Cricetulus griseus: one gene and its partners. The protein of the gene in region 3 interacts with the protein of the main gene of each other region in a pairwise test. Links are inferred from orthologs where the notes say so. Each region holds a gene or a part of one and is shown on either strand. Other genes may lie near its edges.

The links. The genes of interacting proteins can lie anywhere in the genome.
Region 1: the proteins of Lnx1 (region 3) and Prr13 interact in binary tests that used the Homo sapiens proteins (3 or more experiments, as listed by UniProt). The two-hybrid records come from large-scale screens. The link is inferred for Cricetulus griseus from reciprocal best matches to the Homo sapiens genes LNX1 and PRR13.
Region 2: the proteins of Lnx1 (region 3) and Ruvbl2 interact in binary tests that used the Homo sapiens proteins (3 or more experiments, as listed by UniProt). The two-hybrid records come from large-scale screens. The link is inferred for Cricetulus griseus from reciprocal best matches to the Homo sapiens genes LNX1 and RUVBL2.

The regions. Positions count from the first base shown.
Region 1 is NC_048595.1:398,839,984-398,844,290, reverse strand, and holds the start of Prr13 (proline-rich protein 13), read right to left. Parts: upstream 2,888-4,307; 5' UTR 2,771-2,887; intron 1,984-2,770; 5' UTR 1,964-1,983; coding exon 1,945-1,963; intron 1,724-1,944; coding exon 1,374-1,723; intron 128-1,373; coding exon 83-127; 3' UTR 1-82. UniProt on the Homo sapiens protein: Negatively regulates TSP1 expression at the level of transcription. This down-regulation was shown to reduce taxane-induced apoptosis.
Region 2 is NC_048599.1:154,334,737-154,338,383, forward strand, and holds part of Ruvbl2 (ruvB-like 2), read right to left. Parts: intron 2,505-3,647; coding exon 2,449-2,504; intron 1,945-2,448; coding exon 1,803-1,944; intron 956-1,802; coding exon 826-955; intron 722-825; coding exon 655-721; intron 1-654. UniProt on the Homo sapiens protein: Possesses single-stranded DNA-stimulated ATPase and ATP-dependent DNA helicase (5' to 3') activity; hexamerization is thought to be critical for ATP hydrolysis and adjacent subunits in the ring-like structure contribute to the ATPase activity.
Region 3 is NW_023276807.1:141,117,520-141,121,166, forward strand, and holds part of Lnx1 (E3 ubiquitin-protein ligase LNX), read right to left. Parts: intron 2,315-3,647; coding exon 2,089-2,314; intron 1-2,088.

The DNA of each region.
Region 1 (4,307 bases), on a different chromosome or scaffold from region 3:
TAATCTCCCTCAGTACAAGGTGACAGCTGAAGCTTGATGGGAGAGCTGGTGAGACGAGGGGAGGAGGGTCCAGGCCCTGCATTCAGTCAGAGTCACTGCTGGAGGAGGAGGAGGAAGAGGAGGAATGCTGCAAGGGGAAAGAACATAGCATCAGATCCAAATGACCTTTCATCCCTCCAGGGGCCATTCTTCGATGCCCCGCCCTTCCACCCAGGTATCTAGTAGGCAGGAGTCTTAGCCCATCCTGCCCCATAACCAACAAAATCAACAGTTTCCTTCAGCAAGGAGCATAATGGAACAGATTAAACTGCCCTCCACCACTGCACAGAACTGAACATATTGTTGCCTTCAGATGGAGTTTCTTCTTTCCACAGCTAGGCAAGGCCAGGAACATGGAATAAATAAACATAGCACCGATCTATAAAACAGCTGTTACCTTATAAATACCTGTTGATTGGCTGCAAGTAAGGACCATCACAAACTAGAATCTATGCACCTAAGAGAGGGCAGCTGTGTGAGGTGATGCTGTACCTCTAAACCCCACCAGGGGGAAACAGGAAAGTGGGAGAGACAGATGGCTGGAGATATCCCATTCAAGGACCCATACAGACACACCTCTATCAACTACCACTAAAAACATGTTTAGATTCTCCAGGGTTTTCTCCTTCATTTGGTCTCTCGTTCTTTGCTCCTGACAGTTCCACCAAAGACCTAGAATAGGACTAGAGCCTGAATCCACAAAGCAAACATTGGGCATAAAATCTAAGTGAAGCTCAGAGACCCAGGTAGGTCCTCTCCTTCCCAAGTCCTCAAGGAAACTTCTCCCACCCTCCCTAATAATAATTAGCATTCCTGCAGAAGGAAGATAAATACCCCAGGGTTTGTTGGAGGCTGAGTCACAGAAGAAATGCCTAGGTAATTAACAACACCCTGAGAATACGGAAGGAGATAAAGGAAACCCTGGAACCAAGTCCATGTTTACCATTCTGTTAATTATCATATGTGGTTTTACTTTGTCAAAAGACTCACTCAATTGACAATTAGACAACCTCAGGGGGTATGCCCAACTTGCCAAAAGATACACCTGGAGGGTCTTGGGTTGGGGATGTTTCTGGGAAAGAATTAGGCAGAGAAGGGAGAGGACTCTTGGTTCTGATAGCCACCAATGCTTAGCTTTTCCTTTTCAGAAACAGGAGAGATCTGATGCCTCGATAGTATTATTACACTCCTATCAGGAGAATTCTTTTACATAAAGGAAAAGTCACCTGCCATCTCCCACACCCACAAACCGTGAGCCCCTTCCCCAACCCCGCTCACTCCAGTCCCTCTGATGGACACCCCTTCCCTCCCCAGCCATGCTCTCAGAAACTGACCTTTCCATGCTTGTGTTGTTTGTGAATCTTTTTATGAGCCTTCTTCATTTTCTTCCGTGTCTTCTTGTCTATCACCATCCCTGGGCCTACCATTCCAGGAGCCAAAGGATTCACAGGGCACATGCCAGGAGCAGGTGGTGGGTACGGGGGAGGGTGGGGCCCTGAGGGTTGGTATCCTGGACACCCTGGTTGTGGTACAGGGTAAGGGGGGCGACATGGAGGGAAAGCTGGGTTTCCCTGGGGTATTCCTGGAGGACAGGGGCCAGGAGGAAAGGCAGGGTTGATAGGTGGTGGACAGGCAGGATTGGGAACTCCTGGGCACAAGGCTTGGGGTGGATATGGGTTAGGCCCTGGAAAAAGAACCAGGGAATAAAAATTAGAACTTTCCAGAACCTCTGTCAACAAATAACAAAATCCACTGCATTCCTTAACACTGTTGGAAAGGGGAAAGCTTGGTAGCAGTGGTCCAAGGCTTCACTTTTGCTTGCGGGTGGGGGCTGTAGATACAGAAACTGCCTGTTCCATTGCAAAATGGGCTGGGTGGGGCAGAGGCGAGCCCCCAGGTACTTACCAGCATTAGGGTTCCACATGTCCAGATGTTAGTTCCAGCCTAAGAAGGAAAAGAGGCAAAAATCTGAAAGTCCTAGGAGGGGAAGAGAATTTTCTAGAGTCTGAGCCCCACCCTCCAGCCTCCGCCTTACAAAGGCTCTAACTAATAGGCGTGTGGTAGCCCACGTCTTTAGTTCCAGTGCTAAACAGAGGCAGGCGGATCTCTGTGTTCAAGGCCAGTCTGGTCTACAGAGAGAGTTCTGGGACAGCCAGGCTTACCCAGAGAAACCCTGTCTCAAAAACAAAAAACAAAAATAAATAAGAACTTCCTCTTTTTAGCGCCCTCTAGGCCTACTCTAGCCCAGGGTCAAAACCACAGAAATTCTATGGGCCCCTCCCATTTTCACTACCTCAAGCCACACCTGGAGAAAACTAACTCTCCCCATCACTCATTTCCCTTTTCCCGGAAAGGAACGGGAGGTCTTTAAGCACAGGCAGTGCGAGAGAGAACCTCAAACCACCTAAACTCTGCGGCCCGCCCCCGATGAGGAGTTTAGAAAAGGACCCCGCCCTAGAGCAGCAAGAGGAAGGAACCTCCATGTCCTCAAACGCTTAGACAAGGAAACACACACACACACACCAAAAAAAGAGCAAATCCTCAAATGCTTAGACAAGGAAACACACACACACACACACACACACACACACACACACACACACACACACACACACACACACACGGGGGGGGGTGCGGGGGCAAACGGAATTCCTAGTTCCCATATATAAACAGACCCCTGATCCCTATTCAGAGAAAAGAAGGGAATTAGGGAGGCCAGAGGCCCAGTCACCTGTCACCTCCCGAAAACAGCTGGGCCTGCTACTGCCGTCCGCCTTTCCAGTCTGAGTTCGCACTTCCTGGTCACCCTATTCATTCTATGCCTCCGCACCGCCCCTGTGACCTAGTTGATAATTATGTGGTCACTCGGCATGATGATTGGAGAGCTGACTTGTCAATCGCTGTGGTCCAACTAAACTAGGAGGAAACGGTTGCTCAAGCCTCGAGGCGGAGCCTTTTGGGAAGCATTGCATGATGAAATACCGACACACAGGTGAAATACAGAAACGCAGCAGAAACGCTCCTTATGGCGAAGCCCGGGCAGAGCCAGCTGCAAGCAAAGACCCTGAGACACCGAGATAAACGCTCACTGGGTTACTGGTTTAATTAGGTTTTTAAATTTATTTTTTCATGAGTATGACTGTTCTGCCTGAATGTATGTATGTGCTTGATGACAGCGGAAGTCATCAAATCCCCTGGAATTGTAGTTGCTAATGGTTGTGAGCAACTATGTGGGTGCTGAGCACTGAACCCAGGTACTATGCAAGAGAAGCAAGTGTTAACTATTGAGCCATGTCTCCAGTCCCTGATATTGGTTTAAAGTTACAGTGATTATCTTGGGAGTTGTTTGGGGGGGGGCGGGGAGCGTGCAAGCCTAGCCTAGTGGCACTTGTCTGTAACCTAGCGCTTGGAAAGTGGAGGAGGAAAATCATAATTCAAGACCAGCGGTAGCTTCTGGTCGAGATTGAAGCCAACCAATTCTACTTAAAACAACAGAGGTAAGTAGAGCAGTTGGGGCGCACACCTTTATTCTCAGCACTACGGAAGCAGAGGCAGGCTAATCTCTGTTAGTTCAAGAGCTTGGTCTATATAGATCAAGTGATAGGACAGTGGAGGCTACACAAACTCTGTCGGAAGCGCGGGGTGGGGGTGGGGGGCCCGAAGGTGCTGCTGAGTCCCAGCCCCAAGCCTCGGTATCGCCAGCCTGTGAAAAGCAAAGACACATTCTTGAGGGGATTCCCTAATCTCTCACAAAACTCCATTTTATTGCTCTGTCATCTGTGGGGTTGCTTGAAACAAAAACTTAGGTCATCCCAGCCACCTCATTATGCTCTAGGTCACCCACCATGCCTCTTCTACCTTTCCCTTTCACCCTAACCCCAGTGCAACACAAGTTATATTTTTACCTCCCAAATACATCTGGAATTCCTCTACCTCTATCTTCCTTGTCCCCAGCCTGCCATAATGTCCTGGATTGCTACAATTGCCCCTTTCCTTCTATATATATATATAATTTTTATTTTCATTGTCTGTGCATTGATGTTTTGCCTGCATGTGTGTCTGTGTGAGGATGTCAGATCCCCTGGAACCAGAGTTATAGACTGTTGTGAACTGCCATATGGGTTCTAGGGATTGCACCCGGGTCCTCTGGAAAAACAGCTGGTTCTCTTAACCACTGACCGTCTCTCCAGCCTCACAAATGTCCCTTTCTTATTTGGTTGGTTGGTTGGTTTTGGTTACCCTGTGCAGCACACATTTAAGGATTGATC
Region 2 (3,647 bases), on a different chromosome or scaffold from region 3:
GGCAGTGGTAGCACACACCTTTAGTCCCAGCACACAGGAGGCAGAGGCAGGTGGGTCTCTGTGGGTTCCAGACCAGCCTGGTCTACAAGAACTAGTTCCAGGACAGCCTCCAAAGCTACAGAGAAACCCTGTCTCAACCCCTCCCCCCCAAATCACATATGTTCACATACATGGGTGCACGTGCACAGTGTAGGTTGGAGGATAACTAGTGAGTTTGATTCCTTCCATCATGTGGGTGGTGGGAACTGAACTCACACCAGGCTTGGCAACAAATACCCACTTAGCCACCTCATAGCCCTTCGAGTAACTTTAAAGACATGAAATGAAACAACTGAGCAGCTGCCTAACAAACATGGGGCTTTAGGTTTGACCCAGCACAGAAAAAAGAAAACAGAAACTCCTACAACCAGGTAGAAGAAAGCCAAGTGTCAGACACCTCTGGGTGACACTGGAAGCACAAAGTGTCACACAGAGGTAGGTCAACTGGGTGGCCGTAGAGTGAAGGACGCTGGGGGAAAGTTCTGATTCTTGGTGCCCACAGCAACTCATCAGCTGACACACTCATTTAGCTAGCTTCTCATTTTACAAGAAAATCTATATCATCCTTTGCCCTTTGGCTGGAGGTGTTGGGACTGGGAAGCCACAGAGACTCACCGTGCCTGTGGCTGGCCGGTCGATCTGGATCTCCACCACCTCGCCTTCAATGATCTCTGTCTCCTCCCTGGTGGGACAGACAACAGAGCCTGGGTCAGACTGGCCCCTGAGACCCTGGCTCCCTGACCAGGACTTCGAGCAAGCAGAATGGATATCACACAGGAAACTCACTTGATACGGACACCGATGGAACGGCGGAAGGCTTGAGTCAGAGCCTCAGTCTTGCTCATCTCCAGAGAAAAGATCTCACTGCCTGCGATGGCTGTAAAGGGTGTGTCGGGGCCCAGTGCCTGAGCCATGCCTGTGGGAGCAGTGGTCAGGCAGTTGTGGCTGCTGGCCCCAGATCCCTGACTCAGTGATGGCCACCCACCCTATCAGCCATTTAGTCTCCACATTAGCACGCATCACCTTGCAAGGCACGGAGACATGGCCACCTCTCTAGGTAAGTGCCATTTCTGAACTGATTGCTGGTAGAGCTCGACTCTCCGTGCCAGGTCCCACAGGGTTATCAGAGGTGGGAGTGCAAAGACAGGTGAGGCAGGGGAGTCTCAGAGGCAGAGACGCCCCAGGAGGGTTCTGAAGGATGGACAGAGTTCCACAAGCAAAAGCAGCAGCTGTGACCCTCAATCACTAGTGGACTGCTACAGAGAAGGCTGTCTGTCTGTTTGTCCAGTGTTCATTTGCTTCCTCATCCCCAGACCCTCACTTTATTAAGAGAGTAATGATCCAAATTAAAAAATTGTACAATAATGCTGGCCTGGTGGCACACACCTTTGTCCCAGCACTTGGGAGGTAGAGGTAGGTGGATCCCCAGGCTAGACAAGACTAGCAACCTCCAAAGCCCCAGCCTGCTCTGCAAACCATGTGATAGAACCAGAAATGCAGAAGCACACAGCTTCCTTACAGGACAGCTGTGAAGGATGCATGACTGGACTACAGTGGGGAAGGCTACAGCTGAAGCAGCCTTCTTGGAATACAAGGTGACCCTAGCATGGAAACAAGGAGAAAATGTTAAGACAGAGGACCCCATATAACTTCTCAGTGGTCCCAGACAGCCTCCTTCTGACGTCTCTATGATTGTCTGTTAAACAGCTGACATGTCCCTGACCGCCACAGAAGGAGAATGTCTGCCCCACGAGGCCTCTTACCCATGGCAATGGCGGTCTTCCCAGTGCCTGGCTGTCCAGCAATGAGGACGGCCCGCCCTGCAATCTTCCCTTCTCGGATCATCTCCAGCACCACGCCGGCTGCACGCCGGGCAGCAAGCTGCCCCACCATGCCCTGGGAAGCCTGGAGGGTAGGAGATGAGAGGACATGGAAGGTGACTGATTGCCTCCAGAGCCACTGACGTGTTCCCACCACACCCTGGCCCACACCTTGCCTGCTTGGAAAAAAATAAAAAATACTGGTTTTCTTCTTGATTTTTTTTTTCTTTTTGAGGCAGGGTCTCACTCTGTAGACCAGCCTGGCCTTGAACTCAAGAGATTGGGCTTGCAGGTATAAAACACTGTGTATGGTTGAAATCCTTCATCACAGAATCAAGAGGTCTGAGCCAGGCAGTGGTGGTGCATACCTTTAATCCCTGCACTTAGGAGGCAGAGGCAGGAGGATCTCTGTGAGTTCAAAGCCAGCCTGATCTACAGAGCCAGTTCCAGGAAAGGCTCAAAGTCTCCAAAGCTACAGAAAAATCTTGTCTTGAAATAAACAAAACAAAACAGGTCTGAAGATAGGAATAGCCCTGCCCAACATGACAGGAGCAGCCCATATACCCAGCCCCCTGCCCCATAACTCTACCTGTCTTGGTTCCAAGGCATCATCCAGTCCCAGACCCCGGATGTGGGAGTGAGCACCTGTGTGGGAGGAAGGGAAGAGTCACTGGCTGGCTCCAGGCCATGCTGTGTGGATTCTGAGTCAGGGGCTTCCCTCAGAGATCAGGCTCCCCTGTTAAATGAGGCCAGGAAGATGCCTGAGTTAAGTGTTCAGCATCCGAGAGCTGGATGACTCCACCAAGTTCCCAGGTACTGGGCCCAAGAACTAACAGTGAGGGCCACTGCAGGAGGACACTGGTACTCAGGGCTGTTATTCCACATCACCCCGACAAGTACCATTCCTGGGCCCATCCACAGGGATGGGGAGAGAGTGCAGACAGGTTAGGGCTCAGACCCCATCCAGCAAGAGGTGAGGATGGAGCCCCAGTGCACCAGCCACTGGCTCTGTACTAAAGCTCAAAGGACACAGGCAGCAGGCCCAGTCACAACCCATCTCTATGCCACCACACTCTTGAAGTGAGTTGTGTCACTTTTGATAGAGATGAGATATAGCAAGTGCTGGGTCCAACCCAAGTGTGGGGAGGAGGAGGGTGTTTCATTTCAATAAAGCAGAACTCATCAGCCAGGCATGGCAGTACACATCTGTGACCTCAACCCTCAGGAGGTAGAGGCAGGAGAATCAGAAGTTAAAAATCACCCTCAGATACACAGTGGGTTCAGGGCTAGCCCGACCCACATGAGATTGCCTCAAAAACAAACAAACAAAAAACACACCACACAAAAAATCCCCCAAGGCCAGGCAGGGTGGTACATACTTTTAATTCCAGCACTCAGAAGGCAGAGGCAGGTGGATCTCTTGAGATTAAGGCCATCCTGGTCTACACAGTGAGTTCCAGGACAGCCAGGGATACACAGAAAGTAAGTAAAAAGGTCCTGCCTTAAAAAAACAAAAGTAGGTGCTGGAGAGATGGCTCAGAGGTTAAGAGCACTGACTGCTCTTCCAGAGGTCCTGAGTTCAATTCCCAGCAACCACATGGTGGCTCACAACCATCTGTTATGAGATCTGGTGCCCTCTTCTGGTATGCAGATATGCATGGAAGGAGAATGTTGTATACATAATAAATAAATAAAATTGTTAAAAAAAGAAAAAAAAGGAAGACACTTAAAGGATGTAGCTCATGGGTAGAGAGCTTGCCTAACGTGAAGAAGGCCTCAACAGACAGC
Region 3 (3,647 bases):
GACAGATGTGAACATTAAGTAAAAGGGCCAGACCACATGTGGAGGGAAGGGAATGCGACAGCTCTGTCTTCACACAGCTTGATCCGGACTTTCACATGTACCATCCCTAAAGAACAAAAGTGACCCAATGGTGTGACAGCCACCTAACCTGCCACCTGGCTTCACAGATGTACAGTTTGACCCATCCCTGGAGGCAGTGGACATTGGTGGTGCCCTGACTATCGTGATTCCCAAAATCAATTCTTAGGTTTCTTTGTAAGTTTTAAAAAGCTTTGTACCATATGAGCTCACAGGCCTCCATTGTGTTTGAGTGAGTACATTGCTATCTAAGCCATGGGCAGCCAAGCCCACAAGCTTTCATTCACAGATGGTCTATGGCTGCCTTTATGCTACAACAGCAGTGAGTGGTTGCCAAGGCCCCATACTCTCTAAGCACAAGCTCGCCAGCCTTTTGCAGAAAAGATCAACCTCTGACATAGTCTTTCCCTGAAAAAAATACTCAAGACGTTGGTAATGCTGGTGACCTCTGCTGAGTGACTTGAAGGTTCTGGAAAGGATGGATACTGACTTCCTGCTCCCTCTGCTCTGGTACCCTCTGACCTCCTCACCATGCCATTAAATATTGCAGGGAGGAGGAGGAAAGGAAGGATAGGAAGAGGCTCTGAGGTTCTGGAAGTCCCTATCTTCTTGTGTTGCCATCATATCACATTTCCTTTTACTCTTGGAGGGAATGAGTGCAGTTCAGACATTCCAGCAGGAGCAGAGAATTGCTGCCAATGCCAGGTGGCTCATGGGAAAAGTAAGGCGCCATGGGCTTGATGTTCTCCTTGCACATGTGAACAGTGAGGAGAATGGCAAAGTAGCTTTCAAACAAAAGGTACAAATGGGCTTGGGATTATAGTTCCAAAATCTCTTTTAAAGAAAAATTTAGGGCTGGAGATAAGACTTAACGGTTAATAGCACTGACTGATCTTTCAGAGGACCCAGGTTCAATTCCCAGCACCTACATGACATCTCATCACTGTCTTTAATCCCAGTTCCAGCAGACATGACACCCATGGCAAAACACCAATTCACATAGTATGTGTGTATTAATTTACTCAACATAATAGTCTCCTACTTAGGCTCAGTTGTAAAGTGTTTAAATTGCCTCAATGCTCAGTGTTCCACTTTCTAAGGACTTTTAAAGACTTACTGATTTTAAAAGTAATGAATCAACTAGTGGAGACTCAAATACAACGGGATCAAATTGTATGTGAAGCTACTAAGTAAGAGCTATCTCTACCTTCAAGAAAAAGTTTCAAAACCAAATACCCCACCTGCTTCCACTCTTTCATCCTACTCCAGTACATCCATCTTCAGTGACACCATTCTTAACATCTAAGCTACACCTTTACATCTAAAGGCCAGTAAAGTTTGCTCTGGTCCAGGGAAGCAAACATCAAATTTTTCTATCCTTTGAATGATCACAATTCATGTACATAGCCACTTTGTGGGGTTCTGTCCAAATCCTCATCTCAAGTCAGCGGGTCAGGTCATTTTATAGTTCATTGTAAGGCTCCAGTTGTACCTCAGTAAAATGACAACCCAGCTGCTTCCTAAAGAACTTTCCAGGAGAGTCACAGAAGAGAGATGTTCTGCGAAGAATCCTCAACTACCAGACACTTAACCTTGTTCTGCTCTACTTCTATATGTGTAGTCAGAGCCTCTAGAAACCTGAGTGAGGTTGCAGCTAGTACAGCTCCCAGTCATCTCCATGCAAGGATGAAAATGACTTGAGCAGAGCTCAGCTTGTGAGTGTAGACACAGGCTGAGTTTTTATCAGTCAGCTACACTCCCTGCTTTACAAGCCACCTTATAACTCTGCAAACGAGGAAAGCATCTAGAAGGTGCTCCATAGATTTTCACACACTCCCTAAGATATCTATTCGGACTTTCATTTGCCTACAGAAGATAGAATTTGTTCAAACAGCCCCACAAACAAGACTGGGTCATATTAGTAAGATGCTCGTGCCCATGAATCAGCCCAAGACGGTGAAAGAGTGGTTTAAGAAACATAATCTGTAGGGGTGTTAAATCAGGACTCACTGTGGTAATTCCAGCCACATGACCCAGGATGGGGACCAGTCACCAGGCGGGGTCACATTGTGGTTGGAGTCCAGGGCTGCTGGGCTGCAGTCTTCCTGGAGCTCCTGTTCCTTGACTTCCAAGGCTTTGAGTACCACTGAGGAGGATGTGCTCTTCAATATGGCAACGGCCTCTGTTCGGCTGACCTCTGTGAGCTCAATCCCGTTCACATTCAATAAAATGTCACCTGAGGCCAGAGAAGCAGAAGCATCCTCAGTGAGTGCAAATGGGATTCTGCTCCATGTGTGACAGGACAGAGGCTGAATGGGCATGTGGACAGAGTGAGGATCAGTATGTCTCTTGAACTCATAGTGACACAAGACTGGGTCTCAATTAGCACATAAGTAGAGCATGTGGGAATGTCTTGTTGGGAGTCTCTACACATTACTTACCAATGTTCACCTGTTCCCTTATATAAGCTAGTTTTGTTTGTTACTTAGCCAAAGACAACCTACAATTTCGCTCTTTTAATTTCCTGTTTTCTTTAGCACACAGTGAGAATGATTGACTAAGTCCTCCCATGCCTACACAGAGCCTGGTGTATGGGAGGCTACCAACATACGGAGACCAAAACAGGAGTTAGTGTCTGGCTCGGGAGACCAGAGCAGATCAAGAATAGGCCTGGACCTGAGCTTTCATGGAGATGGAAATCAGGTACCATTTGTAGTCACCGACTCTCTGTGCTGCACAGAGCCAGCAGTAGCTAAGTGCCCACTTTATGCAAAAATACTCCTGTATGTCACTTCTCTTCGCCCCTCATCATTCTTCACTCAGGTGCTTGCCGAATAGCAAGAGATATTAAAAGGTACCTTCCTCTCCTTGCTTTCTAATTCATTTATCTCTTGGTTCTTTTGAGGAGGTGTGTGCCTCTTATACATCATCTTTTTCATACAGAATAATTGTAGACAGGAGGAAAATGACAAAGGGTGGCCACAAAGCTTGCTGACTAGAAAAGAATGCTGTACCATGCCACCCCCAACTTCTAGATCAGCAGGCAGAGTGACTGTACTTGAGAAATTTTATTTTGTCTTAAATCTGAGCTCTTTAAAAGCACAATTCCTCTACCTAGGCAACCTCTTCATATGCTTGTACAGTGTTATTAACAGTGTTATTAACACATCCTTGCAGAGGTAAACTGCATACCTCCCTTCATGTAGAGAAGCCCAGAACAGGAGTGGATAGCAGAGGTCTACTTGCCAATGAGCAAGTCCCTCCGATGATATTTAATTATACCACTGAATCGGCATCTATCAACTAATTGAGTCCACAAAATGACACAATTCATAAATCAGTTTCATTACTGGCAAAGAACCAGTTAGAATGTGTGGAACTGGATTATGCCTTAGAAGTAACTTGGCTCATAGGTTCATTGATTGTCCATCCTGGAAAATCTAGGGACTCTAGCTTTCCCAGCAAAGCTGCCTCACACCCACTCACATGCACTAAGAGGGGTGAGCCTGGACTACAGCTGCAGACATGCTCATCCTAGTCAAAGAGGCACAACCATCACGGCCAAGTCC